Macaca fascicularis: one gene and its partners. The protein of the gene in region 4 binds, or shares a complex with, the protein of the main gene of each other region. Links are inferred from orthologs where the notes say so. Each region holds a gene or a part of one and is shown on either strand. Other genes may lie near its edges. The genes, in order: PPIH, GEMIN5, CRNKL1, SNRPF, TXNL4A, CWC27 and LSM3.

Region 1 (4,597 bases), on a different chromosome or scaffold from region 4:
GAGGGAGGCTTCATTTGGGGGAAAAAAACAGTCTACTTACAAGAAAGTTATGGTTAGCAAAAAAGAACTATTTCACTGGGCCCTCCCAGTGCATAGCGCAAAATTCCTCCAGAACTATCTACCTATCTCGCTCTGATTCCTTGCCCACAAATCAACTTCTTATGAAAAACTCAGCTTTCCAGGCACTGTGACACCAGAAGTAAAAGAGAAAATGAGACAGGCATTTAGTCCACTAGAAGGAGATTTACCTCCATTCAGAAAAAAACAAAAACAAAAACAAACCACAGCTGATTTCTGACTAAGTTTCATATGACTAATTAGTGTGAACCTATCATAGATCATCTACAGGGTATTCTTAAAAAGTCCAATTTCTGGCTCAAAAAGGCTGAGATTTGGACCATGGAAGTTAATGCCTCAATCAAAGTGCTAAAGTCTGTTATCTACAGTCAGTTGTACCTAGCCACTTTCAAGAACTTCCCCATCACCATTCTCTCCAACACCCCCATCAAACCTGGCTATTGTTCTCAAGCCTTAAGACTGGGTCTCTGTAGTAAAAACAGCAATTGCAACAATAATAAAAACTAAAACTACAGGTCTTTGATAGAAAAGGAATAGTACTTACATTAACAAAATCTCCACCCTGAATCATGAAATCCTTTATGACCCTGAAACAGAGAGCAAAGAATACTGAGAGAAGATTTTATGGAGACTTTGTTATTATTGTATTAGATTAACATTGATTTCAAAATACACTATAACTTTGGCTATTATAAAATCACCATTCTTAGCTGGGTGCGGTGACTCACGCCTGTAATCCCAGCAGTTTGGGAGGCCGAGGCAGGCAGATCACATGAGGCCAGGAGTTTGAGACCAGCCTGGCCAACATGGCAAAACCCCATCTCTACTAAAAATACAAAAATTAGCCAGTCGTGGTGGCACATGCCTGTATTCCCGGCTACTTGGGAGGCTGAGGCAAAAGAATTGCTTGAACCCAGAAGGCGGAGGTTGCAGTGAGCCAAGATCATGCCACTGCACTCTAGCCTGGGTGACAGAGCGGGACTCTGTCTCAAAAAAAAACCAAAAACCAAAAACCAAAACAACAAAAAAAGAAGATTATTCTTTTCCTGGAATGATTAAGCTGAAAGGATAATTAACCATAAAAAAGGATTTTAGTTATAAATTAGGGCATGTTAGAGTTGATCAAGTGCATGATCTGGTACCTGAACAGTAACAAGAAGAAGGGGCTGAAAGCCTGCAGGAAGAATGACCACATTACTTGCCAAAGCAAAAGGCAGATCAAGGATTTGATGTAAATTTGGGGGAAAGAACTACAGAGAATTTATGTGAAAGGTACTGCTACACATGTAAGGGCTTAACAATTGTTAGCTATTACCCCTAGGGAGGGTCCTTAACCTTTGTTATCCTCAGTTTCCTCCTCTGTAGAATGCAGATCACACATACCACTTCACAGGAGTCTTACTGGGGATTAGAGACCCACAGTTCTAAAGCTGTGATATAATTATGTGCTAACATTGTTACTAACCACAGTGAGGCCATGAGAAAGATTCTATATTGAAATGAGACTAAGTGTTGCCATACTCCACTCCCCAGGAAATATGATTATCCTTGGACAATCATATATGATCATTTTAGGAATTAGTTATAAATAGCAACCAGCAGGATATATTATATGCACTTTAGGATTACAAGTGTACTTCTTTAAAAATCTGCATTTGCACAAACAAGTGCATGAAAAAGACAGGATATTGTAAAGATGAGTAGTTTCTGTTTTAAAGACATAAGAAGTGGGAGAGTATAAGTAGAGTTAGAATATTTAATAAATCTTCAGTTATTGAGTCCACAAAAACATTTCTTCTCAAGAAATGTAAGAATTACCTCTGGTTTTATTTTCCTCTAAAGAGCCTAATCCCCCAGGAAATATTTCTGAAAGACTCTAGGATGGCTTGCCAAAAGCCTTACCTGTGGAAGGTGCTTCCTTTGTATCCTATTGGAACCCCATCTTTTCTATAACAAAAAGAAAGAGACTTGGAGTGATAGCAGGTAGCACAAGGCCTTTCCAGTTTACCATGCACTGGAGCCAAAAGGACTCTCCTAAAGATGGTTGACAGACATAAAGAAGGCAAATAAACTAGGGACAGACCCTTGGGGCATTACCTTCTATCACTGTCACCAGCAATCATTCAAGGCCAGCAGCTGGTTCACCGATACCCTCACCGCAGCCCCAGAACACCCTTCTGGAGCAGGCAAAGAAGTCAAACACATCTGAAACTGACCTGAATTCTCCGGTGCAGAACTGCCTGAAAGGGACAAAAAGTGAACAATTCAATCACTATGACATCACAGTCGTGACCGCCTCTAAAGACGGGAAAGAATAAACAATGGAGCCAGCAAGTCCACCAATCCGCCAGCCAGACGTCCAAACACGGAGACGTACAGACTAACAACGTAAATTAACACGGGAACAATCCAAACGGCAACCAGACAGAGCAAAGCACGGAGGAATCAGGTCTCAAGAGCAGTGAGCGGACGGACAGAGGTAGACAGGCTATTCAGGCGGCTGACTAGAGCCCGACTTCTGCCTTAGCTAATCCAGCGGAACTGGAGCACGTCCTTACCTAAAGTTCTCGGCCGTCTTAGGCACAACGTCTGCAAAGAGCTCGATCTTCATGCGGCCAACTTCCTGCAATCAGCGGGAGACTGTCAGAAGGCCCAGTCCAAGACCATGAGGGCTTCACGGAGCTGGGGGCAGGATGGGCTGACCCACCACCCTGCCGCTCGGTATCACCCACCTCCGCCTCTCTGGTCTAACCACCCAGTTCCTCCAGAAGCGGGGCGCTAGGATTGGGGAGACTTCTCCTCATTTCTCCCCGCCCTGCAGGTCGGTAGGTTCGGGTGCAATTTCGCTTTCTGGCTGGCTTCCCGAGTCCGCTCTCTCTGAGTGAGTTCTGCCTGCCTAGCTAGCCCCGAGCAGTTTCCCTTCGGCGCAGGTGTGGGTAGCGTCCTGGATCTCACCTGACCGCCAATGCTGACATCAAAGAACACCACGGGGTTAACAGGACTTGAATTTGCCACCGCCATGGCTCCGACCCGGAAGCAGAAGTCGGGAGCATGGGATTCCGGCGAACCTAAAGCCCTGTCCGCGGGTTTCGTCCGGGGAGCAGGCGCGGTGGACGCAGAGAGAGACCGGGCCCCGCCCCCGGAAGCTGTCGCCCCGTGCCGTGTGTGCTGAGGCTGCTGGGGTCTAGCTGGGAGACTCTCCCTGAGACGGGGGACGCGGGAGTGAGGAGGAGGAAAGCCTTGACATCTTTTTGGTTAAGGTCGATGGTCACCCCACTCACGTGGCTGTACTAAGGGCAGTACAAGTTGATCTTGCTCTAGCTAGGGCTTTTGGACTAGGCAGTCGCCAGGGTCCTCCTTATCGGCTCTTGGAACCAAGCCCTCTACACCGCCACACGTGCTGTGTCTGTCTTCTGCCCGCTAGTCTGTGAACACCGTGAAGGCAGGAACTCTGGTTTGTTCATCCTCAGCGTTTAGAACAGCTTGGCACGTAAAGGCTTGCTAAGTAAATATTTGTCCCTTCCTCTAAGTCAGGACAATAGATTAGGTTTCCGTTCTGCCACAAGCTCCCAGTTTGGTCATTTCCAATTCGTTTCCCACAGAGTAACTAGAGTTTTTTATTTTTTATTTTTAAAATACCTCTTGTGATTCCTATTTATTTTTAAAATAACTCCTGGCTTCCTATATTTAGAATAAAATCCAATTCTGTACATAGGAAGCCCTCCAGTGCATTAATCTGGCTATTACCTACCTGACCTCATCTTGTACCACTTGCCCTTAGTTACTGTGCTCTGACCTGTCTGCTCCTCCAGGTCACTGAGATCCCTCCTTTCTTTAAGGCCTTGTAATAGCTGTTTCTTCTGTCTGAAATATTCCTTCCAGATCTTAATGTGGGTTGGCGGGGTGATGGTGGGGTTTGGTTGGGCTATGTGTGTGGGAAGTAATGCTCCTTGTAGTTCAAGGCTCACCCCAGATGTTACCTCCTCAGAGGCAACATTAGACCTAATCTAAAGTAGCCCTTGGTCACTCAGATCACTGGTTTGTTTTCTTCATGCCACCCCCCATTTCACATTTGTATGGTATGTGTCTGCACCTCATTTCCTGCCACACACACATACATCTTCCTCCCTAATAGCATATAAACTCCATGAAAGTAGAGACTCTCTCAGTCCTGTTCGCAGCTGTAGCTGCAATGTCTCCTACTGAATAGCACATAGTAGGTAAATATAATAGATTCAATGAATTTAGTGAAAGAAGGGGAACTTGGGCAAGACTCATTAGCTATAACAGCATGCATTTAATATAATAGTTATTATTTCCTAGGTCCTTTGATCATCTTTTCTAGCTCTGTCGTCGGAGGAAGCAAGAATTACATATAAAAATCCAGTGTGTCTCAATTTAAAGGGTCATTTTTATTCCTGGTTACTGATCCTCTCCTCTTGGTCTCCTCCAAATGAAAAAGAAGAAAGGGGAAGAGGGAGAAAAGGAACAGCAGCAGTCATGCTTCAGTATAATTTTA
Region 2 (3,925 bases), on a different chromosome or scaffold from region 4:
TAACTGCAAAACAGTAAGGTAACAGGCTTTCAACTAAAGTCAATAGTCTCTGAAAGATTTCTATTCTGCTAAACTACAAACCAGGATAAACCATAGCATGAGGACCTAACACAGGGGTGTCGAATCTTTTGGCTTCCTGGGGCCACAGTGGAAGCAGAATTGTCTTGGGCCACACATAAAATACACTAAAACTAGGCTGGGCATGTGGTTCATGCCTGTAATCCCAGCACTCTGGGAGGCTGAGGCAGGGGGATCATGAGGTCAGGAGATCGAGGCCATCCTGGCGAACACAGTGAAACCCTGTCTCTACTAAAAACACACACACAAAAAAGTTAGCCGGGCGCAGGTGGGCACGCCTGTAGTCCCAGCTACTTGGGAGGCTTAGGCAGGAGAATGGCGTGAACCCAGGAGGTGGAGCTTGCAGTGAGCTGAGATCGCGCCACTGCACTCCAGCCTGGGAGACAGAGCGAGACTCCGTCTCAAAAAAAAAAAAAAAAAAGAAAAGAAAAAAACCCCACTAACAACAGCTGATGAGCTTAAAACCATCCTGAGCCATGGGTTGGACAAGCTTGACCTAATATATCCTTCCCTGGGCAAAACTTCTTTATCATGTCTGCTTTAACAAAAAACCATTTTGATGGGTCTTCACATTCTCCCTACATGTGAGCTATTGATATATTCAGTGCTGATCTGTAGCAGTAACTCTGAAATTGGAGTCAGGGGTGGGGTATTATGACTTGACAGGTGCTTTGAAAAAGCCCTCTAATCCCACCCAAGTTGTAAACTGCTGCTCTACAATGCTGAGTGAAAATAAGCAGCTCTTACATCTCTATCCATTGATGTGGAAAGTAATAGCTGTTTGTCATCCTCTGTTTGTAAAGGACATAAATTAAACACAATTCTTGAATGATTTTGCCCTTCTGATGAGGCACTGAAGAGGGTGTATTTCCGTCTCCAAGATTGAGTGAGATCCCATTGCAACAGTTCACCTCTGTGAAGGAAAAACATAAGCATTAGTTCTTTTACAAACAATCTGAAAACAAGTGACTGTTGAGTCACAGAGTCTAGGCTCATAGCTGCAAAATGATTTGTCTTTTAAGGAGAGAAAAATTGCATATTCTGAAAATACGCACAAAATATCTCTGGGAAGGCTGGGTGCAGTAGCTCACATCTGTAATCTCAGCACTCTGTGAAGCTGAGGCAGGAGGATAGCTTGGAGCCCAGATCTCAAGAACAGCCTAGGCAACAAAGTGAGACTGCCTCTACAAACAATTAAAAAATTAGTTGGGCATGGTGGTGCACACCTATGGTCCCAGTTACTTGGGAGGCTGAGGTGGGAGAATTGCTTGAGCCCAGGAGGTTGAGGCTGCAGTGAGCTGTGTTTGCATCACTGCATTCAAGCCTGGGTAACAGAGCAAGACCCTGTTTAAAAAAAAAAAAAAATTTGAGCCACAGAAAGGGGAACCAAGTAGCCAGGGAAGACAGGACAGTTTATTATATAATTTCATTCTTCTTGAACCATGTGAGTATACTGGACTACCCTTTAAACAGATTTATCTCCAGTCACTAGAAGTAGGTAGTCAATGAACTCTGTTTACTGAATGGGCATAGCCATCCAACCTAAGAGAAAATATTATAACCATCTCCCCTTTCTACACATGAAGTGACTGAAGCTCAGAAAAGTAAAGGGTCTTGCTCATGAATACAAGGCAGTAAGTGACAAAGTGATTCTGAAATTTACTTCTGACTTCAGAGTCCATATTCCTAACTGCCAGACTATACTTATTTGATCTTTTTACAGCTCTGTTAGTAGACAGCACAAGCATCAGTCTCACAATTTTTCCATTTCAAATGGGGCCCATCATAATACAAGCCTTGGCCATTATTTTCTCCATCTACAAAGAGAAACCTAGGAGTCCTTGAGGCCAAATAGAAAAACAAAACATATCTAAGAAAGCATGACCATAAAAGACTTACCCAAAACAGCTAGATACCAGCTGTGTTGGCTGATTGCTGGGCCAATGGAGTGTCAACCAAAGGCGCTCTTTAACAGTTGGGTCTATACCCCCTCCTCTTCTCTTCAGAAAGGGCAATTTCAAAATCATCACCCCTGCAGATTAAAAGGAAGGCCAATGGGCACTCAAGACAGTGAAATTACATGCATGACATTGCTGGCAGTTCACAATACACAGTCTGAGCTGTAAAAGCTTGTTAGTTTGGTTACTTAGAATTCAGATCTCGTTTTCCAATGGTTACAATTATAACCATTATAATGGTTATATTTTTAACCACTATAAACAGTGGTTAATACTAGTCCAGCTACATTTAGGTCAAATAAGCTTCCATAAGCTATCTTGACAACCTCAACACATTAAGAGTATATTTTCTTTTTTTGGCCAGGCGCGGTGGCTCATGCCTGTAATCCCAGCACTTTGGGAGGCTGAGGCGAGCAGATCATGAAGTCAGGAGATCGAGTGGATGAGTGGGTATGCAAAATGTGGGACATACATACAATGGAATATTATTCAGCCTTAGAAAGGAAGGATATGCTGACGTACGGTACAACATCAACAAACCTCAGGGATATATGCTAAGTGAAATAAGCCAATCACAAAAAGACATATCATATGTCTAATTTCACTCAAAGAAAATACTCAAGAGTAGTCAAAATCATAGAGCAGAAAGCAGAATGATGGTTGCCAGGGCCCGGGGGAGGGGAGAATGGAGAGTAGAATTCTGGAGACAGGTGGTTGTGACAGTTGCACAACTTTAGGGTATACTTAATACCACTTAAATGTACACTTAAAAGTGATAAAAATGGCAAATATTGTATTTTCCACCACAGCTTAAAAAACTGCGAGAAAAAAAAAATAAAATGGAGAAGCCCGCTAGAAAGAGAAAAGCAAGATTTTTACTATAAAGGTTATATTCCCTAATATATTATAAATATTAATTATGCCTAGAGTTTCTCTTAATTTTTAAACTTAACGAGAAAAGTTCTGTTCAAAGAGAAATTTGGGAACGCTAAATGATTGAGGGGCTCTATAATTTGGATAAAATGAGCTTTTACACATAATTCCAGGCTGGGTGTATGTTATTCTGCATTTGTGCATTAAAAGCTCTAACTCTTGAGATCTTTTCCATTCTCCTGGCCTAGGCCATATCATGTTCTAATATTCCCATTTTTATTACAAATATTCTGCTCTCCATGCCAAATAGTGACCCTTTCTATAAACCAAGAGGTCCTTGTTTTCTTCTGGAATGCATGGGAAATACTCATTCTAAGGCCAGATGTTGAGAGAATAGACAGTTCTAGCCCAGGCTCAAATGAGGAAGCAGAATTCTAGACCGAAAAGTGAAGAACTGCTCTCAGATAGATGACACACCCACAGGACAATAAGACAGAACAAAAAACCCTCTACTTCCACCAGATCAACACAGGTTACATCACAAAAGAAAGATCAATCTTACCTCGGCCTCTAGAACAGTTCCAGATTCGAATGGTTTGATCTTTGCTTCCAGTGGCTAAGTAGCAGCCTTTTGTTACTGGAGCTTGTGCCACAGCATTCCCATTGGTAATTTCAGCTTCTTCTATGAGATAGGTAGCAATTTTGCTTTTAATTTGCATTAAACACACACTAATATAAAACAATTAGTTTGCAAGAGTTCCCAGAACTTAGCTATCTCTTTCATAGGTCTGAACTGTAAAATTTGAAGTTTTATGTATAATTAAAATGATATAATTCAGCCGGGCACAGTGGCTCACGCCTGTAATCCCAGCACTTTGGGAGGCTGAGGCAGGTGGATCACCTAAGGTCGGAAGTTCAAGACCAGTCTGACCAACATGGAGAAACCTGTCTCTACTAAAAATACAAGATTAGCTGGGCATGGTGGCGCATGCCTGTAATTCCAGCTACTTGGGAGG
Region 3 (3,925 bases), on a different chromosome or scaffold from region 4:
AATGATACATAGTCACATATTTAAGCAAATGCATTGGTAAGAATAGGCATCTAATTATTGACTATCATGAGAGTGATGACTATAGATGAAGGGGTGCTTGCTGTGGGACACCTGGCCAGTAATCTAACCTCTGTATTCCTGTGTCTTTTCTATTTATGCAGTCTCAGGGATGGTGTTTTTAAAATGAGAGAACATGTAAAATTTAGAAGAAAAGGTGCTAAAATATAGAAAGTCGGCCTGATGCCTTTTTTCAGCTTGCTTAACCTGGCAAGTGCAGCTCTTGGTTTTGTTTTTTATTTATTAAACTGGTTGTCTTTCTAGGCGAATCCACACAATTACGATGCATGGTTTGATTACTTGCGCTTGGTAGAAAGTGATGCAGAAGCTGAAGCCGTGAGAGAAGTCTATGAAAGGGCCATTGCCAATGTCCCACCCATTCAGGAGAAGAGGCACTGGAAGCGCTACATTTATCTTTGGATCAACTATGCACTCTATGAAGAATTGGAGGCAAAGGTGAAAAAACAGAATTATGTGTCAGCTGTTAATGGTTTCCTCTCCTCTGTATTCACAGCTCACCTATTGTGGATATTTATAATTCTTGAAACAAGGAAATTTAGTTTTAAATTTTTATAGGCTTCTGTTCAAGCCATACAGTTACATGTTCACTCTGCAACATTTTAAACTCTCTGTGCTTGTTATGGCCACACGTGAGGGGCTTTTCTTATTTTGGTTTGATTTTTACTTGAGGCACAACAAGATATCACTTGGAACTTGAAAGAGAACGGTGAACCAGCCCTTAGTTTAATTAAATATAGTTTCCTGGATTTGCTCATTAATAGGGGTAATTATGGCTAGATTATGCATTTTTGCTTTTAGGAAAAATCAAGTGGCATTTTCAGAAATCATTTGTATTAACCTTCTGGGTTTGATCTGAGACTACGAAATGTCTTTGTTTCTTTCCGCCATCAGGCAAAAAGTCTTTCTACAAAGAAGGGCTTAGAGTTTGGTGTCTTGTTGGTGATTCTTAAACTGAAGTTTCATGGCCATTCATACTTTAGATCATAAATCAGGGTTGGCAAGTAACAACTTGTGAAACATACTCAGTTTTGGGGATGTACCTTTTTACTAGTATCAGTAAAATTAGTAACTAGTAAAATGAGTGTTAGCAGCAGACTTCAGTATTTTGTGAAAATTTCTTATCCTAATACAGGATCCTGAGAGGACAAGACAGGTGTATCAAGCCTCTTTGGAACTAATTCCTCACAAAAAGGTATGTTTGCTCTAAAGTGTTCCATTTCAAACAGGTCAGAATCCTCTTCTGTTACTTGTGAAGTAACTCAGTGAAATAATATTGATTGATAAAATATTTCCCTGACCCACCATGGACAACATAAGTAAAACTGAGATATGCACCTTGCCTCTGAACACAGCTCACAGTCTAGGTCGGAGGACTGCCTGCATTGACAAACAAAGGAAATTCAGAGAAGGCTAGGTAATTTGAATAGTCTGAGTGGAGGGAGAAAGATTTCCATGCAGAGAGCACACAACATGTGTCGGGGACACAGAGGCAGATTTGTTGGTAACAGCGAGTGTGTCCATGCCCAGATCAATGTGCCCCTTGTGTAGATGGTTGAGATGTTACCTCTGCCTTGTTTCCCAGCACGAGAAACAAAACGTGTTTCCTTCTGTAGAAGTGTTGACAGAGTTACTTTTCAGAATAGAGGTAGGACATTCTGCCCACATACAAGCACGCCTACAAAACAAAGTCTGTTCTGAGTAGAGGCTATCGTGCCATGCAGTACAGTACAGTATTTGGATCATGATTCTGAGGAGAGGCTACCATGCCAGGCAGTACAGTGCAGTATCTGGATCATGGGATGTGGGTTTCTAGCTTTTGTGAAATGAATGTGGTCTTTTTTGCTTGTAAATAAGCAGAGTACATTCCTCTTACTCTGAAGTTTTAGAGAAATAGAATTACCAATGGCCTTGGTTAATTTAAATTTACTTTACTTCAATTTAATTTGGATGAGGCTTTTAAGCTAGATATTTTTGTGCTTTTGTTTTCTAGTTCACATTTGCCAAAATGTGGATACTGTATGCACAGTTTGAAATACGACAGAAGAATCTGTCATTAGCCAGAAGAGCATTGGTAAGTAAAGAAAGGATCAAGATGTCTGATTAAGTTCTATGAGAAAGAAATTAAAGTCTTGGTGCTTGGAAGTTATACAATTCCTACTTTAGAAAGTGACAGAAGTATTATACCTTTATAGCCTGGGACATGTTAGAAAATATGCATCCTCTGTAAAAACACTGACTAATAATGCGTAAATTATTCTTATTACCTGGGGTAAATTACATTTTGTTTCAATATTGGAAACTTCTCTAGCTACCAGTTACTAGATCTTTCCACAGACTAGAATTGGTAATCTGATCCTGTGCAAGCTTTTTGGTGTATTAAACGCACTTTTAATTGTTCTACTTTTTTTTTTCCTTTTTTTTTTTCTTTTCCTGTTTATTGGTTTTTTTTTTTTTTTTTTTTTTTTTTTTTTTTTTTTTTTTTGAGACAGGGTCTCGCTCTGTTCCGCAAGCTGGAATGCAGTGGCACAATCTTGGAATCTTGGCTCACTGCAAACTCTGCCTCCTGGGCTGAAATAATCCTCCCACGTTGGCCTCTCAGAATACTGGGATTACAGGCATGAGCCACCATGCCTTGTCCTTTTTATTTATAGGAGGTGTTATGCATCTGACATCCATATTCCCTAGGAGATCCTGAGAAACTTTCAAATCTTATTTTATTTAGTTGCCCAAACAATTCTGGAACACTGCCTCTTGCTGAATGAATTAGAGGAGTTTCCTTCAGCCTTTTGTCAAGAATCAGTAAACATTGTGATACCACAGAGGGAAAGAACGGTAGGCCACGTTGACTTTGCAAGATTCTTCCTCAGCAGAGGACAACCTCTAGGGCAGTGCAATAACTGCACAAATTGAATCCACTACAGTATCATAGTGGTCTGGTTATTTTATTTTCCAGGGAACTTCCATAGGCAAATGTCCAAAAAACAAATTATTTAAAGTTTACATAGAGTTGGAGCTACAGCTTCGAGAATTTGACAGATGCCGGAAGCTTTATGAAAAGTTCCTGGAATTCGGACCTGAAAATTGTACCTCGTGGATTAAATTTGCTGAATTAGAGACAATCCTTGGTGATATTGACAGAGCACGGGCAATCTATGAATTAGCCATCAGTCAGCCACGTTTAGACATGCCAGAGGTGAGCATCTCAAGTCAAATACCATTTTAAGATACTTGTTTAGTCTTACTTTAGATGACCATCTAAATGTGGGTGTATTTTAGAGTATAAAGATGATCTAGCTAACTTAGTCTCTTCTGCTCAGATTAGGCTTGTATGTGGAAAGGTGACTGTCGGGGACAGGGGAGGTACCCCTCCTGTTAGATACCAGTAGACATCCAGGATGATGCCCAGGATGAATTGGGATATCGTGGGGGTGGGTGATGCCCCTCTCCAACAGGGAAGCCTAAAGGGGCTGGGGAAGATGCCAGGCAAAGAAGCAGCCAGCAGGCTGGCCCACCTGGAGAACAAGGGGGATGGAGGTGGGAACACATATCCCTGTATTCTCTAAACCAGGATGTCCTTGCCACTACTGTTGTCACTGTCCTGAAAGTCGTCGCCTGCCTTCAGTAGTTAAGCTTGACCCACAAGGTAGCACCAAACCACAGCTAGGACCAATTTGAATCTCACAGGAGCCGTAGAACTCACCCAGTTGTTTTGTTAATCTCATGCACTGACATGACCCTGCATTTAATGGTTTGGCCCCCTGACTGCGTTAAGGCAGAGCTTTGGGTATCACTGAGTTTGTCAGTTGTCCTCAGCTCCTCCACCAGACTGCCAGGTCTCAGGTGTCCA
Region 4 (4,532 bases):
AGCTAGGTGAAGGAAGCAATGGAAACTTATTGTTTAAAGTTTAATTGTAAAATTATTGTTTAATGGAAAATTACTGTTTAATGGGCAAAAAATGTCACTTTTGGATGATAAAAAAGTTCTGGAAATGGATAATGGTAATGGCTGTAGAACAATGTTAAGGTATTTAGTGCCACTGAATTATACACTTAAAAATGGTTAGAGTGGCAAAATTGTAATGTATATTTTACCACAATAAAAAGAAAATTAATTACAAAAAAACCCCCACCAAAACACATGGCTGAATCATTTACAGAAACTCATTTGACAGACATACAGTCAGTTCAATTTCTTCGGCAGATGTGTCTTTCCCCTGAAGGAATGAATTTCCTCAATAACTTTGGTGTTGTGCCTTTAGCATCATTCATTAAAAGACTCATGAATTTCACTTGAAAACTTTCTTTCAGGGCTAAATGATGAGAAATGTTTTGTTTTCTCCAGCAAAGTAGTGTGTTTCCCTTACAGTATTATTATGAATTAAATGTCTGAGCTCTTCTTACTTTAACTACTAGGAATAAAATCTGTGGCTGAATTCTGGTTTAAGTCCATGTCTTGTACCTAGTATATCATAGTATCCTCCCTGGCTTTGACTTTATTTTTTAATTTTGCCGTACATTTGTCAATTTAATTGTATGTATTCTTATTAGTCAGACTAAACCTTTGAGCAATAAGGTGAAGCAAACTAAATGCAATGTTATGACCTTTACAGCTCTTTAGCTTACCTGCATGTTCATGTAGCCATCTACAGATACCAGATAGCCCTTGTACTCCATTCCCCACTTAAGTTTCACCATCACTGGCTTTCCTGTTAGTCCATTGAGGAAAGGTTTGGGATTGAGGGGTAAACTCTGCACAAAGAACAAAAAAGGATCCAATTAATTATTTTTCCTCCCACCACCAACTCTCTTCTACTAAATACCAATATTTTGTGGTATGCAAATGAAGAAAACTCTTGACTCATTATTTTAGTACACAATTTTCACTTTTATTTATTGGAGAGTACCAGGGAAATTTAAATATCCAGTTAGTCAGTATCACCTTTAACCCATCAAAACAAAATACTCACTATTCACTTAAGATAACACCGACTACATACATCACTTACTGTTCTGAGCTCTAAAGAAACAAAGATAAAGGCACTTTAAAAAAAAAAAATGCGGGCCAGAAAGGGTGGCTCATATCTGTAATTCCAGCATTCTGGAAGGCCAAGGCAGGGGGATCACTTGAGGCCAGAATTTCAAGACCAGCCCAGGCAACATAGTGAGACCACCTTCTCTACCAAAAATAGTCAGATGTGGTGGTGCACACCTGTAGTCCCGGCTACTAGGGAACAGAGCAAGACCTTGTCATAAATAAATAACAGAGTCCCTGTCAAGAAGTTGGAGATGGGGAGGGGGGCTCCTCACATACAAATAATTATACTGCATATTGCAACATAATAAGAGGAGATATACTAGGCACAAGGGTACCGAAGCAATCCAGGGAAAAAAGGAAAGGTTGCCTGAAATAAGTTAACCTCAGTTTTAAAGAATGAGAATTTATTTCCAGAGCGGGAAAAAATCCTGTTCCAGGCAAGGCTAGCTACTTATGTAAAAGGAGGGAAGAGTGAAGCAACAAGGTGATTTTGGGGACATACAATTCAGCATTGTCAGTCAAAGTCCCAAATATAAGACTACAGAAGGAAGCAGAGGGCAGATGACGCTTGACAGTCTTTAACTGTGGAAGCTAGGGCTAGGTCCTAAATGACTTTGTCACTAGCACTGCCTCTTATAGAAATCACTTAAAGTTTGTTCAGCAAACCATTAACATCTCCAGTGAATTCGGTTTTTGCCTTTTTCTGCTCACTCACCAGTCAAAGAAAGAACAGAACTAAGAAACTTGGCTACTAACCCCCTCTAACATAAACATATTCGGAGTGACTTGATACGGCGATTACTCCAATAACCTAATGGGTCTCCAGTTTTCATTCTCCAATTTATTATCCACCACAGCAACATGATTTTTTAAAGTGCACATCAAATTGTCATATTTCTGCTTAAAATGATTCAATGGCTTCCAACTCAATCATTTTCAATTGATTTGGAGTACAATCAAAACCTCCCAATACAGCCTAAGAGGTCCTGTCCAACGCCTGCTCCTCCGACACCATCTCGTAACCACTCTTCCTGCAAGTGGCTGTACCTTTTTGTCAATTTCTCCAACTGACCAAGCTTTCTTTCCGGCCGCAGGTCTTATGCGCCTATTCCCTGTGCTCGGTACACTCCTCCTCCTGCTCTTTAAAGGGTCTATTTCATGACACTTAGGCTTCAGGTTAAATTCCACCTCCTAGGGAGGCCATCTCTGACTAAGCCTCTAAATGTCTAACGCGCACCCTCACAGCCTCCTGTCTGCATTCTTCTTAGCACTTATTACTTGCAATTGCATATTTGTTATTTTTTGACTGTCTGTCTTCCCCAACCAACTGAGTTAAACTAGAGCATGGCCGTATCATTACTTTCATGCAATGAAAGTGAATTTTGGAGTGTGGTTAAGTGGGAAGTGCAAATTCTCTTTGAGTTTTACCCCGACCCTGTAGCCACAAACAAGAATATCCCAAGCCCGGATTCAAACAAAGAGGAGAAGGCACGGGTACTCCTAGAAAAAGAAAGGCATCGGGAGGAGCACGCGCCTCAGAAATCCTAAAAGCAGAGTGAAAGAAGCTGGCGACCGGGTGCGCGGCGCCTCACGCGGATGAATGGGAAACGCGCGAAGCAACCACTAGGCCCCGCGAGGTGGTCTCCCTCCTTCTCTTTCTCCCCGCTTCTCCCGCCGTTCTCGTTCTCCTTACCATCGTAACCACGGCCGAATATTGCAGGCTACTCACTGCCGACCAGGCTGCCGCTTGTCCCTCGTGACTACAGCAGGTACCCCAGGTCCCGAGCCGCTGAATTTCAAGAAAAATGGCCGCCAAACAGGAGTGTGACCTTTCACCTCCCACCACGGCCCTTCCTGCCTCTGTGATTGGACGAAAAGAGATGCGCGCTGATTGGAGGAGATGGTTGGACCAGTATCTCCTGGCAACCAGCAGCGGCTTGAGTTTGCGCCTGGCCGGCTGCGCGCGGGTCTTGGGAAACCCGCTCTGAGGAGCAAGGTGAGGCAGCCAAGGACTGGAGGCAGGCCGGTGTTGTAAATGTGCGGTCTGGGAGAGGCTGTGTAACGGATGTGACTTCTCCCCAACTTGGTTAATGGGGATTTTACTTTGTCTTTTTACACCCGTGAGAATGTTCAGGATCCCAGAGTTCCTTCCTCACTCTTCCAACAGGTTCCATGATTTGGGGGCGCCTCTGCCGCAGGCCGTTTCTACCTGAGTATTCTCTCTTCTGCAACACCCATTTCAACCCCTTTTAAAGGACTTCGGGGGTAGCCAGACAAGACTAGGGGCGGTGAAACGCACCGAAGGGAGTCGGATACAGAATTTATTTTAAACGAGGTCAGGTTGTGTCTGGGATATGATGTCATGTCCCCCCACCCCCCACGACCCCGCCGGCCCCATCTTTCTTTTGCATCGCCAGCAGAGACTGGCACGGCCTTCTTACGTGCATTTGAAATTACCTAAGGGCGTAAGCAATATTTCCGCTGTCACGGATTAAAACTTTCGACGTAACGGTGTTATCTGAATCTCACTGGTTTTTGTCGTAATCCTAGTGAGTTCGGCTCACTCTGATCTGAAATGCTAAATGCAGTTCTTGGAGAACACGCCCTTTGGGAAGTAACGCTTTTTTGCGGCCCTGAAGAGATGGATTTGAGGTTGAGGATGAAATGTTGGTTGTTGAGGCACTGTGGAGCAGTGGGCAAGACTTTGGAGAGGGCCTGCATTCGGAACCTGCGTCTATCAGGCGCAGCCGGTGTTGGGCAGTGTCTTAACCCTCAGGGCCACTGTTTCCACGGCAGGAACGCGGCTTTAAAAACGGAACCATCCTCAGCGTGGTTGCGAGAATTTAACCTAAAACGGGGCTTGGCCTTGTAAAAGCTCAGTGTTTCACATAAGTGTTGAACACTGACAAGACAGTCATTGTCAGTGTAGTTTTTACCAAACAGTTATTAGATTTATTCACCCTAAACTTAAGTGGATTTCTCCCTTAGTTTGTATATTGTTTCATGAACTTTAAGTCTTTGTGCAGACTTTGAGTTCCTACTATGTGTCAGGCTCTTTCAACAATTGTGGAAATCTTACCTTACCGTCTGATTCGGGGTGACAGCCCCGTTTTAGAGATGAGGAAGCAGGCCCAGCAGGTAACTGTTACCAGTTGAGGGTAGCTGTCCGAGTTCTTGCCGTTTTCAACAAAGAATTGGACAAAACGCACAAACAAAGCAAGGCAGCGAAAGCAGAGATTTATTTTAAATGAAAGTACACTCCACAGGGTGGGCACCGCCTGGTGCAAGCGGCTCAAGAGCATTGGTCACAGAATTTTCTGGGGTTTGAATGCCCTCTAGAGGTTTCCCATTGGCCCACAACC
Region 5 (4,515 bases), on a different chromosome or scaffold from region 4:
GTTTCCAGACTAACTTTCTTCCTGAAGTTCACAGCTCAGCTCTAACCCAGCATGAGGCCAGTGGGCCTTGTGGAAGCAGCAGATCAATACAACACATCCAGGAAAAAATCGTATCAAGTCCAGCCGAACATCTGCAACTGTTACTCACTTTAAAACAGCTGGGACATCGACAGGACTCATAACAAGATAAGGAAGATTCTCCATTATCTGCCATTTCTGCACAGGGAAATTTTTAAATAGTTATATTGTTCTTTATACTAAAATCTTACATTTCAAAAATTTCTGTTGAGTTTCCCCAAAAGAGCTTCCAGAATTAGAAAGTCATATTTTGCCCATATACTAAGAAGAAAATAAAACACGAATAGTCTTTTAATGCATTTCAGGTTTGCACTTATTTTTGGAGACAGGGTCTCACTCCTGTTGCCCAGGCTGGAGTTCAGTGGTATAATCATGGCTCACTGCAGCCTTGACTTCCCGGGCTCAGGTGATTCTCCCACCTCAGCCTCCCAAGTAGCTGGGACTACAGGCATGTGCCACCACGTCTGGCATTTGTACTTTTAGTAGAGAACGGGTTTCACCATATTGTCCAGGCTGGTCTCGAATTCCTGGGCTCAAGTGATCTGCCTACACTAGCCTCCCAACCAAAGTGCTGGGATTACAGATATGAACCACCGTGCCTGGCCTAGGTTTGCGCTTTTAATAATTATACTATAATATTTGCATTAAAAGTTTATTAATAAAGCAATCCAAATTTTTGGACAGAAACAAAAATCAAACTATTTTAAAAGACCAAAAAAAAAAAAAAAATACCCCAAAGTGAGCCCATTTCAACTGTCCTTAAGTGTGTGTCCACTAGTGATACAGTGATTCATTCTGTAATAACAAAGAAATCGGACATAAAGGAATTGGAAAAAAAGAGCAAATCTGGCAAAGACCCTAACACTTACATTAACACATAAAATCTGTTTCCTAGCTAAGAGCATCTTGCTGAGCTCTGCCTGGATGTGATGAGACAAAGGCCCTCACATCGCCAGCCATCCTAGCCTCGAGCTGCCGGCAGCAGGATCTGAACACCAGCTGATGTTTATGCCACCATCTGCAAGGTAGAACAGTGAAAGATTCTAGAACTCGTAACTCAAAGTCAGTGATTTACAAGCAGTGATTTACTTATTGGGAAACTGCTCTTCGTCAATTCTTCGCTGGATTTCCAGTATCTGCCCTTGTCCACTACAAGTCAAGCAATGAAAAGCTGATGTGCTGGCACTGCCTCACTCATCATCTCTAATCCCTGGCTGGCAGAAGCCCCAGTGTGAGAGAACTGCTGCTCTCCTGATTCCCTAGGCAGCTCCTCAAGTCCTCAGTGTCCTGCTGTCCAAGAGGAAGAGGCTGGGAGATGGCTGGTAATAAAGCACTCCGCCTCTGTCCCTGACCCCCATGGAAGGGTTTCTGAGTGTGTGGTTCAAGGTCAGGTCACATCAGAATTCCCTGAGGGGCTTCTTTAAAAAGCCATTGCTGGACTTCACCCCACACCCATAGACTCAGAATCACAGATGCATTTTAGTAAGCACTCCAAGAGATTCTTGTAATAACTAAAATATAACAACAGTTCCTAACATCACGCCTCTCCTACTAAATAAGAAATAGCAAGAATTAATAAATGGCAGGCCAGACAGTCTTTCCTTTCCTCAATATAAAATGTCTTTATATCTGTTACTCTTTACTCAAAGGAGTTATTTTAACCCAGCCTACTTTAGCATCTGTGAAAGAAAAGATAGCTTCAATGTTACTTTTACTCTTCATCAAAATGAATAACCGCTCAAATTACTTACGGAAAATTAATATGGCAAATATTTTATTAACACCCTAGTATTTGTGCCCTTTGCCCTATTGCTACAGCTGCAAAACCTAAATAAACGCCATCCTAAAATTGCTGTGAGGAACCACAGAAAAAGAATGAAACCTGGTTATAAAATAGTGTCCCACAACTTTTATTGTCAGCAAGTAAGTGCCAAGGCCACTCAATGTACTAATATTAGAAATTCAGAAAACTAGTTCCAACAAAGCATAGTTCTATTTTCTCCCGATGTTTTCTGCATCTTAATCACTCTAAGCTATAAATCACATGACTTACAAAAAGCGCGGTGGGAGAAAACAACAACAGAAAAACAGGATTTCTTATGCTATTAACATGAAAGTTCTGCTTTACACATACAACAAACAAACAAGGCACCAAAAAAGGGCATCCTTTTAAATTAAGGATCTGCGCTCTCAAAATCTGCAAGTGTTACTTTGTTCACTGCACTGTAAGATTGGGAAAAACGCCTTACCAACAGAAATAATGAATTCCTTCGAGGGGAGGGGGATCATAAACCCTTTAAAACGTGAACAACTACAGGACCTCCCTGCAGAAAAAGGCGCGAAACGCCGGCACAGTCCCCGAGAGCGCTCGCCCGCAGCGCGGGAAGGAATCGCCCGGACGACCGCGCCGCGGCCCCTCCTCGGGGAACGGCTCGCGCCCCCAGGCGAGGCCGGCGGGGCAGAGGCGCGGGGCCGCTGCGGAAGCACAGCCAGCAGGGCGGGAGGGCCCGGCGCGCTACCTTCTCGGCGATGCTGTATAGGACCTCGTCCATCTTCATGCAGGTGGGGTCCCAGTCGTGGCCGAAGCGGATGACGACCACGCGGTCCTCCTCGGAGAGAATGGCCTGGTCCACCTGCCAGCCGTTGTGCAGGTGCGGGAGCATGTACGACATGGCGACCCGCGCGCTCGCCGCCGCCCGAGGCCGGGCGCCAGGGAGGGCCCAGCGAGGTGGTGGGCTCAGCCGGCCCCTCACTCCGCGGCCCCCGCCGCCCCCGGGCCCACAGCCGAAACCCGGTCCCACCCGCACCCGCAAGCTCCGCTGGCACTGCCGCCGGGCGGAACCTCTGGGCGCGCACGCACCGACGCCGTGCGTGCTGACGTCATGCGCACGGGCTGGCGCCGTGCGTGCTGACGTCACGCGCGTACAGACGCCGCGCTAACTTGTCGTTGGCCGGCGGGAGCGGCGGCGACCTGGCCACGGTGGAGCGCGGTTGGTGCCCTCCTAGCCGGCGTCGGAGTGGGGGTTCCTCCCCAGCGTCCAGGCGGCCTGGTGGTCCTGAGAAGCCCCGGGCTCGCCGTGCCCTGCCCCGACGCACCCGCCCCGAGGCCGCCCGCCGCCGCCCGGGCTGTCCTCCAGCCACGGATGGGGACGTCTTCAGAAAGGCCCGGCATGCCCGGCACTGCGGCTCGTTTTTTTCCTTTCCGGTGTCTGTTTCGGGTCATCGTTTGTGCTGTGTGTTAGCGAGACGGTTCGTGTGTGTCATTTGTGAAACTTGACCATAAAAATGTGTCGTTGTTGCCATACCCAGCCACGGCAGAGCCGAGCAGCGGGGTGGGGGGAAGCACTGGGCAGGCCGTCCTTGAGGAATGTCACCGTCAGGCCGGCTGCTGAGCTGCCTGTTGTAACCCGAAACCAGAGTTTTTGTCTTTTTATAAAGAAAAAAAATTTTTTTTGAGACGTTGTCTCGTTCTGTCGCGCAGGCTGGAGTGCAGTGGCGTGATCTCGGCCCACTGCAGCCCCCGCCTCCCGGGTTCAAGCGCTTCTCCTGCCTCAGCCTCCCCGTAAGCTGGGACTACAGGCGCCAGCCCGGCTAGTTTTTTTGTACTTAGTAGAGACGGGGTTTAACCATGTTGGCCAGGCTGGTTTCGAACCCCTGACCTCAAGTGATCCGCCCGCTTCGGCCTCCCAAAGCGCTGAAATTACTGGAGGAAGCCACCGCGCCCGACCTGAAGCCAGTTTTATTGCATAGCTTCAGCATAACTTGCACCTCCAGGACTGATCTGGCTCCCCCGGCTTCGCTCCCCAGTCAGAGCTCCCCAGACCCTTACTGGTGCCTATGAACTTTCTCCAAGAGAAATAATATTTCTCTTTTTAAAATAAAACCTCTAATCTCTGTTCTTCTGAGAGAGCACTTTGGGTTCATGTTAGAGACTCCCCCTGGTTTGCAAACTGACATTGACAGTAAAACTCTTGTCTGCTATCCAGCCATCCTTGTGGTCCTTTGGATGACAAATTGACAACAAATCATGCCGGGGCGCGGTGGCTCAGGCCTGTAATCCCGGCACTTTGGGAAGCCGAGGCCGGTGGATCGCCTGTGGTTGGGAGTTTAAGACCAGTCTGACCAACATGGTGAAACCCCGTCTCTACTAAAAATACAAAAAATTACCCGGGCGTGGTGCCGCGCGCCTATAATCCCAGCTACTCGGGAGGCTGAGGCAGGAGAATCGCTTGAACCCGGGGGATGGAGGTTGCAGTGAGCTGAGATCGCAGCACTTCACTCCAGCCTGGGTGACAGTGAGACTCCATCTCAAAAACAATGACAACAAAAAATCACTATGCAGATGCTGTGGTGTCTCTCAGATGGGCTGTGGCATAGTGAGAACTGCAGTCTGAGGAGCCTGCTGGCCTGGGGATTGAAATGGGTTCCATGTTTGGT
Region 6 (3,925 bases), on a different chromosome or scaffold from region 4:
CTTGCGCTCTCTCTTTCGTTCTCTCTCTCTCTCTCTCACTCCCCCTCTCTCTCCAGTCATGTCTCTTTCTAAGATATTCACCCTGGGTATTTGAATGATGTTTTGAAAATGCAAATCTGATCATGTGCACAGTGCTCAAAAAGTATTGGTTGACTGCTTATTGTGGGTCTAGAGGAATATTCATTATATGATATATACTGGGGTATATTTTATACTCAAATTTGAATATGAATTTGTAGCATCTGAGTGAAGATATTAGTTTGACCTCACATATGTGTTGAACTTGAAAATGTGTAGTTTGCTTTCACATTGTTTAATCTTCAGATTGACACTGTGCCTTAATTTATGTTATTAGATTTATGAGAAAATGGAGTTTAAGATTGTATAGCTAGCAAAAGGCGAGATTCAAACTCCTGACTGCTACATGCAGTGTTAGTGTAACTCATTAAACAGTTACCTAGGAATATAGGAGAGATACTTTTAGACCTTTTGCTTTTTATAGTGTGTATTTGTAACCAGAGGGAACTTGTCTGCACTAGGGAGCTCTTGTAAATACAGCCCAACTGCCCTGCACTGGGAGAAGGGAGTAAGCAAAGTCAGCTGGTCTTCCTTTCTACTTCTTCTTACGTACTGTGTACTAAATACAGTTGTTAGAATACAGATTATATTTTTTAAAATATGCATTGTACATCCAGTTATGCTTTGCAAATATAAATAATTATGAGGGTGTCTCCAAGCCACTAAAATAGGAACTTTATAAATTATGTCAGTAATTGTATCAGTAAAATGCCTGGCCCACAGTAGATACTTGATAAATATTTTTTATTGAATGAGTTATATTCAGGTTATATTCAGTTGCAGGTAATAGAAGACCCAACTTAAAATGATTTAAATAATAAAGACATTTATCATCCTCTATGTCAAGAAATCTGGTGAAATCTTTAGGGAAGCTCTGTGAAATCTTTAGGGAACTGTGCTCTTTACATCTTTCTGCTTTGTAACCCTAAGCATGTGATTGAATCATGTCTGCCTAACTCAATAGTTGGTTCAACCACAACCTGCTTTGTTGCTACTTGCTTTTTGTTTGTTTTTACAACAACAAAAATAATAGCTTTTGTTTATTCAGTACTTCATACTACATATGTTCTCCTCTTGTGCTTACCTAATGTAAGTACAGAACTAATTTCAGTGATGTAAAATAATTTCTTTCCTTCCACCTAAAGGATTTTTTTAAAAACCTGTGGGGAAGTTTATACAACATAGAACTAACCATTTTAAGTGTACAGTTCAGTGTCAGTTAGTACATTCACTGTATTGTGCAGCTGGCACCTCTGTATAGTTATAAAACACTTTATTACCCCGAAAGAAAACTCTGTATCCATTAACCCAGTCATTCTCTATTCTCCCCTTGATAGGATTCAGCTCTGTGTCCCCACCCAGATCTCACCTTGAATTGTAATCCCCATAATCCCCACATGTCTAGGGCAGGACCAGGTAGAAGTGATTGGATCATAGGGGCATTTTCTCCCTTACTGTTCTTGTGATAATGAGTGAGTCTCATAAGATCTGGTGGTTTTATAAGCATCTGACATTTCGCCTGCTTGCACTCACTCCGTCCCGCTACCTGAAGAAAGTGCCTGCTTCTCCTTTGCCATCCACCATGATTGTAAGTTTCCTGAGGCCTCTGCCCAATGTGGAACTGTCAGTTAATTAAACCTCTTTCCTTTATAAATTATCCAGTCTCAAGTATTTCTTCATAGCAGTGTGAGAATGGAATAACATACCCCTTCTCCACCCACAGCCCCCAGCAACCACCAATCTATTTTCCATCTCTGCAGATTTACCTATTCTAGATATTTCTTATAAATGGAGTCTGACAGTATGTGACTCTGTGTTTGGGTTCTTTCACTTAGCATGTTTTTGAAGTTCATCCATTTTGTAGCATGTATCAGTATTTCATTCCTTTTTGTGACAGTCATATTCCATCATATGTATATATCACATTTTATTTATCCATTCATCTGTTGATAGACATTTGAATTGTTTACACCTGTTGGCTCTTGTGACTAGTGCTGCTATGAACATTTGTGTGTGAGTATTTGAGTACTTGTTTTCAACTCTTTTGGATATATATACATATATATAATTTGGATGTATATGTAAACAATCGATTCTTTTGGATATATATAGAAATAATATATATAAATATCTGATATTTCATAAAAGCAAATCTGATCATGTGCACAGTGATATATATATTATATATTGTTTATATATCAAACAATATATATCAAAATTACTTATAACTACTATTATAATTACTTATATATTATATATTGTTTATGTGAACTATGTATATTTACACTTAAAAACTATATATTAATATATAAACATATATATTACCTGTATACACATACACCTAGAAGCATAATTGCTGGATTACATGCTAATTCTGTGTTTAACTTTTTACACTATTTTATATTCCCACCAGCAATGTAAAAGGGTTCCAGTTTCATCACATCCTTACCAATACTTACTCTTTTAAGGTTTTTGATGTTAGCCATTCTAGTGGGTGTGAAATAGTATCTGATTGTGGTTTTGATTTGCGTTTCTCTAATGACTAATAATATTGAGCATCTTTTCTTATGCGTGTTGGCCATTATTGCTACTTCTTAATGTAAATTCTCTTATTCAGGCAAACTCTAATTCCTGCTCCCCACTCAATTTTTCACTTATGCTTTGACTCACTGAGATGCCATGCTTCTGCCATTCCCAAGTTAACTTCCTTTTCTTCTATCAAGTACCCTAATGATTTTAGGTTCCAGATAATATATAGTATGGGAGGTCATATACAATCTGCCCTGTATATTTATGAGTTCTAAATTATATACTCCAATTGTATATTTTTGAATTATATATAAATATGAATAATTTATTTCAATCATTTAGCAAAACAATTGAGCTAATTGGACTCAAGTATGTATTGTGTTATTTGTTTTGTTTATTCAGAGTTTCTTGAGGAGGGTGTATTGATGGTTCCAGACCTATAACTAATAAGTAATTTTGATGTATTATGAGTTTGTATATTAATAAATTAATTTTCTGTGAGGAAAAGAGGAAGCAATCGGAAATAAGGTGTTCATCTTTGCCAGGGTTTCTCAGTCTCCACACAGTTGACATTTTGGGCTGGTAATTCTCTGTTGTGGGGACTGTCTTTTGCAGTATAGGATGTTTAGCAGTATCCCTGCCCCCTACTCACTAGATGCCAATAGTATCCCCCATTTCTGAAAAATATTTTCAGAAATTGACAAATGTCCCCTGGGGCACAAAATTGCTGCTCCTTCCTGCCAGAACTCTCTAATTTCTATTTTGAAAACCAATCCAGAGTTTGAGAGAATCCTAGAAATAAAAACAAAAAGTCAGCAATGATGGTTTCTGTAGAAATGTGTGCTGTTTTGAGAAGTAACTATTTTATAAGAAGGAGGATACAAAAGGTTTTGGCTTGGGAGCCTATTTAACGTTCTGGAAAATAAATCTTTTGACTCTAGCTGTATTAATTTTGGTAACTGTAGATATGATTAATTTTAGACATTGATAAATTATTTTTATTTTTTTTCAGCTTATTATGACAATACCATTTTTCATAGAGTTGTGCCTGGTTTTATAGTCCAAGGCGGAGATCCTACTGGCACAGGGAGTGGTGGAGAGTCTATCTATGGAGCACCATTCAAAGTAAGACTGAATTATTATTTTTATTACTATTTTTGTTGTTATTATTTCCAAGTCAGTTTGGATTGCTTAATCGAAAATGATTGTGTTCCACAAGAGGAAAAAACATTTCACAGTAGTATATAAAAATCAGGCTGGGTGCAGTAGCTCATGCCTGTAATTCCAGCACTTTGGGAAGCCAAGGGGGGCGGATCAT
Region 7 (4,552 bases), on a different chromosome or scaffold from region 4:
CATTTAAGAATGGAGGACAAATAAATGTTATTTACAAATAAACAGAAGGGAAAAATGAAGGGAATAAAAATGTTCTATAATAAACATACTTCTATTAAAAGAAAAAATATTAAAAATGTGAATACATGCAGCTTCATCTGGCTTATGGAAACATGGGTGATTTTCCACTACCCTCTCTTCCTTCAAAATACCTTTTCACTCTGGACAGGTTTTACATTTCAAGGGAGTGGGGGTGGGAAGGAATCTGATTTCAAGGTAACTTGATAAATTTACTCACATGTAATCTGCCTCGAAGCTCTCGGTCATTTCTCATCTTCACATAAATTCGCTCATCTAGGCTGAGCCTGATAAGATCCAGGGGCTCCTCTACAGTGTTGGTAGTTTGTTGCTGATAACAGAAACAGGTTTAGTAATATAGTACTAGAGATAAAGTAGTGCTTAAATCACTGCTATGCTGTATGACCATGTGCAAGTTATTTAACCTTTTTCTGCCTCAGTCTCCTAATCTGTAAAATGGAGATAATAGTGTCTACCTAATACTGTTTTTATGAGGCTTAAGTGACATATATGAAGGCTTAGAACAGAACTTTTCACATAGTATGTGCTATATAAATGTAGATTAAAACACGCATACATAAGAAGGAGTTACACAGCAAAATAATCATGACTATACTTTGTTCCCTCAAAATCCAAACTGCCTGACCCGATTTCAGGGTATAGGGTCTTAGGAACTTTAGCTTTATCTCAAATATTATGTAATCATAGGAAAAACACTCACTTAATGCCTACCATATACTAGTCAGAATGCCAAGTAGAGGTGTAGGTTTATGGGAAGATTATGAATTCAGCACAGGTTGAGGTTAGGCTGCCAACTGGCCAGTAAGATGAATATTTAGTAGCCAGAATAGAACACTGGTTCAAAGCACTGGCTTAGCCGGGCATGGTGGCATGCGCCTGTAGTCCCAGCTACTCCGAGGCTGAGGTGGGAGGATTGCCTGAGCCTGGGAGGTGGAGGTTGCAGTGAGCCAAGATGGTGCCAACAAGCAAGCAAGCACTGACTTTGGAGTCAGGCAGTCTGGGTTCAACTCCTGGCTGTGACCTGACACTTATGAACTGAGATTAAAAATCATGCCATCTGTAATTCTCAGATTCTTCATTTGTAATTGAGAAAGCCACAACCTTCCTTCTGGATTCTTATGAGGATGAAACTAGTTAATGCATTTAAAACAGTGCCAGGAAAGCAGAAAATATTAATACTTAGAAACGGTTCCTTTTGGCTGGGCGTGGTGGCTCAGGCCTGAATTCCAGCACTTTGGGAGGCTGAGAAAGGCAGATCACCTGAGGTTAGGAGTTTGAGACCAGCCTGGCCAACATGGTGAACCCCGTCTCTACTAAAAATACAAAAATTAGCCAGGCGTGCTGGCACGTGCCTGTAGTCCCAGCTACTTGGGAGGCTGAGACAGGAGAATCGCTTGAACCAGGAGGCAGAGGTTGCAGTGAACTGAGATCACGCCACTGCACTCCAGCCTGGGCGATAGAGTGAGACTCCATCCAAAAAAAAAAAAGAAAAGAAAAGATTCCTACTAATATTATATTATTAAAGAACTGCTGGAAACACTGGTTTTAGAGGTCAGGGCTAGGATGACTTGGGGTCACCCACATGGAAGGGAGGGTTGCAGCCATTAAAGAGTTAGATGATTCAAGGAGAGCTTCTTTAGTAAGCACACAAGGCCAGTGGAGGAAGGTAACTGAATTCGTAACAGGCGCTAAAGATTCAAAAGGCCCGATGAGAGAAAAAAAAATAACCTAACTCAACTGGTCCCTATGTCCCTCAGTTCAACAGGTGTTTGTTAAAGGATCTGATAACCAACTGTTAGATTACAATGATACAGAAGTCACAATCTCCACCCTCAAGGAGCTCATTCTAATGTGGATAGGCATATGAATAATTATAATACTGTAAGAATATGCACATGACAGAGCTCTACTGCTACCTAAGCCTCTGTCTGGGATGCCCACTTTCTGTTCTTTTTCATCCTGTAGCTTTATACATTGGCTTTTAAAAGAGGCCTCCTCTGATCATCTAACTCATTCACTCAAATATTTGTTGAGTATTTCCAGCACTGTTCTAAACCCCAAGGACAAAAGAATGAACAAAACAAAATGCCTACTGTTATGGCACTTACATTCTAGTCAGGAGAGATACACATTAAACAAAGATGCATACATTTAATATGAAAAAATAACGTTCTATGAAGAAAAATGAGGCAGGGTAAGCAGAGTAGGGGGAGTGCTATTTGGGCAGAAGTCCTCTCTGAGGAGGTGAGATTTCAGTAGAAAGTTTAAGTTGTAGCATGATCTCCAAAGATATTTGAGGAAGAAAAAGACCAGGTGAAAAAGCTTCTAGGACCATCTGTTATTCTGCATACCAGTTCCTTGTTTCCTTCATAGCACATCACAGTTCCTATAAATCTTACATATTTATATTTATCTGTTCTCCTCGCGAATATAAGCTCCAAGTCATGGCAAGGATCACTTATATATCGATGTCAGTGTCCCTGGCTCTTAGAACAGTGTCTAACCATACAAAGCTGATGTTCACTCTCTCTGCTGAATGAGTAAATAATTGTTGTGCTCAGTAATAACAACTCCTAACTTTATTATCTGGCTTTCTATTGGAATCCTGACAGCTCCGTGAGGTAGGCACGCATAATAATTTACAGATTTAAAAAAACAAAGCGAAGAGTGTGATGAATAGTCATCAGGTGGCCTTCTAACGGAAAAGACCTCAGGGCCTGCAGCAAAATTCGGACAGGGGTGTTTACGGAAAGGATGGGGCGGATTAGGCCGTGTGACTTGGAAAGAAGAGGCGCGACTGGCCATTTTTCCTGCGTTTGGAAAAAGCAGTTTAGTACAAGAAGCGGCGCCGAGCCACCGCCTTAAAATTCACTCACCTGGTCTACGTCGTCCGCCATGTTTCAAACCCTGCGCCCTTTCCCGCCTCTCGCGAGAACACAAGAGCAACGCCGAGCTCCGGAAACGTGATGCTACAATACACCGGAAATAGAAACCTGCTGTGCTCTTGCCTGCTTCCCGCGGTTTTTTAGTGGCCACGGGTATGGGGCGGAGCTTCCTTTGGGGGCGTGACTAGGCCTCCAACGAAGGGGCGCGGCCAGACGCGCCCGCCTCGGGGCGGGGCCTGCGTTCTAACGCATCGCGGCCTGGTGCGTCACTCGCGAAGTGGATTTTTCCCCGACAAGCAATATGGCTCGGAAGCGCGCGGCCGGCGGGGAGCCGCGGGGACGCGAAACGCGCAGCCAGAAGTCCAAGGCCAAGAGCAAGACCCGGCGTGAGGAGGAGGAGGGTGAGAGCGTGGCCCAGCGGGCTTCGCGGGAGACTCTGCCGGTGGGCGGAGGAGGCCCAGAGGCAGGGGCGGCGGGAGTCCAGACGCGGAGGCCGGGTGGAGGTTGCTGCGCGCGTTCCGCGCAGTGGGGGCAGCACGGCAGGCCGCGGCCGGCCCTCCCCGCTGTCCCTGCGCCTTTGTCCTCTGCACCCAGAGCGGCTTCCCGTGAGCCTCGCCCGACCCAAGCTCCTGCGTAGCTTCTTTCCCGCTCCCCGTTGTCCAGAGGATACAGCGCAGATGTTCAGGGTTGAACGCGGAGAAGGCAGTTATTTGTGTCCCAGGAAAACGGACGGACGGACCAGGACGTAGAGTGATGCAGTGTGCTGACTCCCGAATGATAACTTCAGCTGAGTCTCGCCCAGAGTTCCACAGTGGGATCCCACCTGACTTCCCCTCGTGGATATTGGATAGGCTTCTTACATTTGTCGTGGACAGTGCAGAGCTCATGGTCTTCCCCTTCAAATCTATGGTTTCCTCCGTTTTTCCAGTCCCAATACTTGTTATAAAACAAAGTCCACCTTTTTCTTATGTGCACACATCCAGTCCCGTCAGCAAGTCCAGTCAGTTCAGCCTCAGACTGTATTTCAAATTTGTCCACTTCTCTTCATTTCCATGGCCACAACCCCTGTCCAAGTCACCATCACCTTTCAGTTGAGTGACTGCAGTTTCCTCTTGACTGGCCTCCCAGCTCTGCATCCAGCAACGCAAATAATCTTTAAAAAAAAAAAAAAAATCATGCCATGCTCCTGCTTTAAACTCTCCTTGGTTTTCCATTGCTCTTAGTTTAAAACCCAGTTGTCTTATCCTGGCCTGCAAGATGCTACGTGTTTTGGCTCTTGCTACCTCTCCTGTTTCTCCTACCACTTGTTTCCTTGCCAGATACCCTCCTCATTGGCCTCCTTTCTCTTCCTCAAATATGCCAAGTTATTTCTTGAGCCTTTTCCTTTGATATTCCTTCGGCCTAGAGTGACCCCCCACCATGGCTTTTGCCAGGGCTGATTTCTTCAAATCTCAAGTCAGACATTCCTTGAGCAAACTAAGGTAGTCCTTCCCAGATACCCCGTGGATACTAAAACCTGTGATGCTCAAGTACCTTGTATCAAATGGCCTAGTGTTTCCATGTAACCTATGCGCATACTCCGACATACT

The links.
Region 1: SNRPF (region 4) and PPIH share a complex: the UniProt entries of both Homo sapiens proteins name them as parts of the U4/U6-U5 tri-snRNP complex. The link is inferred for Macaca fascicularis from reciprocal best matches to the Homo sapiens genes SNRPF and PPIH.
Region 2: SNRPF (region 4) and GEMIN5 share a complex: the UniProt entries of both Homo sapiens proteins name them as parts of the SMN-Sm complex. The link is inferred for Macaca fascicularis from reciprocal best matches to the Homo sapiens genes SNRPF and GEMIN5.
Region 3: SNRPF (region 4) and CRNKL1 share a complex: the UniProt entries of both Homo sapiens proteins name them as parts of the minor spliceosome. The link is inferred for Macaca fascicularis from reciprocal best matches to the Homo sapiens genes SNRPF and CRNKL1.
Region 5: SNRPF (region 4) and TXNL4A share a complex: the UniProt entries of both Homo sapiens proteins name them as parts of the U4/U6-U5 tri-snRNP complex. The link is inferred for Macaca fascicularis from reciprocal best matches to the Homo sapiens genes SNRPF and TXNL4A.
Region 6: SNRPF (region 4) and CWC27 share a complex: the UniProt entries of both Homo sapiens proteins name them as parts of the minor spliceosome. The link is inferred for Macaca fascicularis from reciprocal best matches to the Homo sapiens genes SNRPF and CWC27.
Region 7: SNRPF (region 4) and LSM3 share a complex: the UniProt entries of both Homo sapiens proteins name them as parts of the U4/U6-U5 tri-snRNP complex. The link is inferred for Macaca fascicularis from reciprocal best matches to the Homo sapiens genes SNRPF and LSM3.

Annotation. Positions count from the first base shown.
Region 1 is NC_088375.1:192,210,443-192,215,039, forward strand, and holds the start of PPIH (peptidyl-prolyl cis-trans isomerase H), read right to left. Parts: upstream 3,124-4,597; 5' UTR 3,100-3,123; coding exon 3,034-3,099; intron 2,702-3,033; coding exon 2,637-2,701; intron 2,319-2,636; coding exon 2,295-2,318; intron 2,026-2,294; coding exon 1,981-2,025; intron 666-1,980; coding exon 623-665; intron 1-622. UniProt on the Homo sapiens protein: PPIase that catalyzes the cis-trans isomerization of proline imidic peptide bonds in oligopeptides and may therefore assist protein folding. Participates in pre-mRNA splicing.
Region 2 is NC_088380.1:161,716,816-161,720,740, forward strand, and holds part of GEMIN5 (gem-associated protein 5), read right to left. Parts: intron 3,592-3,925; coding exon 3,472-3,591; intron 2,111-3,471; coding exon 1,978-2,110; intron 992-1,977; coding exon 826-991; intron 1-825. UniProt on the Homo sapiens protein: The SMN complex catalyzes the assembly of small nuclear ribonucleoproteins (snRNPs), the building blocks of the spliceosome, and thereby plays an important role in the splicing of cellular pre-mRNAs.
Region 3 is NC_088384.1:67,263,939-67,267,863, forward strand, and holds part of CRNKL1 (crooked neck-like protein 1), read left to right. Parts: intron 1-321; coding exon 322-513; intron 514-1,210; coding exon 1,211-1,270; intron 1,271-2,068; coding exon 2,069-2,149; intron 2,150-3,031; coding exon 3,032-3,271; intron 3,272-3,925. UniProt on the Homo sapiens protein: Involved in pre-mRNA splicing process. As a component of the minor spliceosome, involved in the splicing of U12-type introns in pre-mRNAs.
Region 4 is NC_088385.1:102,891,699-102,896,230, reverse strand, and holds the start of SNRPF (small nuclear ribonucleoprotein F), read right to left. Parts: upstream 2,989-4,532; 5' UTR 2,867-2,988; coding exon 2,864-2,866; intron 885-2,863; coding exon 759-884; intron 350-758; coding exon of another isoform or gene 287-349; exon of another isoform or gene 1-286. UniProt on the Homo sapiens protein: Plays a role in pre-mRNA splicing as a core component of the spliceosomal U1, U2, U4 and U5 small nuclear ribonucleoproteins (snRNPs), the building blocks of the spliceosome.
Region 5 is NC_088392.1:1,012,253-1,016,767, reverse strand, and holds the start of TXNL4A (thioredoxin-like protein 4A), read right to left. Parts: upstream 2,925-4,515; 5' UTR 2,751-2,924; coding exon 2,598-2,750; exon of another isoform or gene 2,328-2,597; intron 1,021-2,327; exon of another isoform or gene 984-1,020; coding exon of another isoform or gene 948-983; intron 217-947; exon of another isoform or gene 215-216; coding exon of another isoform or gene 149-214; intron 1-148. UniProt on the Homo sapiens protein: Plays a role in pre-mRNA splicing as component of the U5 snRNP and U4/U6-U5 tri-snRNP complexes that are involved in spliceosome assembly, and as component of the precatalytic spliceosome (spliceosome B complex).
Region 6 is NC_088380.1:70,449,255-70,453,179, forward strand, and holds part of CWC27 (spliceosome-associated protein CWC27 homolog), read left to right. Parts: intron 1-3,619; coding exon 3,620-3,732; intron 3,733-3,925. UniProt on the Homo sapiens protein: As part of the spliceosome, plays a role in pre-mRNA splicing. Probable inactive PPIase with no peptidyl-prolyl cis-trans isomerase activity. As a component of the minor spliceosome, involved in the splicing of U12-type introns in pre-mRNAs.
Region 7 is NC_088376.1:152,442,760-152,447,311, reverse strand, and holds the start of LSM3 (U6 snRNA-associated Sm-like protein LSm3), read right to left. Parts: upstream 3,017-4,552; 5' UTR 2,976-3,016; coding exon 2,955-2,975; intron 389-2,954; coding exon 278-388; intron 1-277. Other genes in the region: XPC (DNA repair protein complementing XP-C cells), read left to right, coding at 3,265-3,364. UniProt on the Homo sapiens protein: Plays a role in pre-mRNA splicing as component of the U4/U6-U5 tri-snRNP complex that is involved in spliceosome assembly, and as component of the precatalytic spliceosome (spliceosome B complex).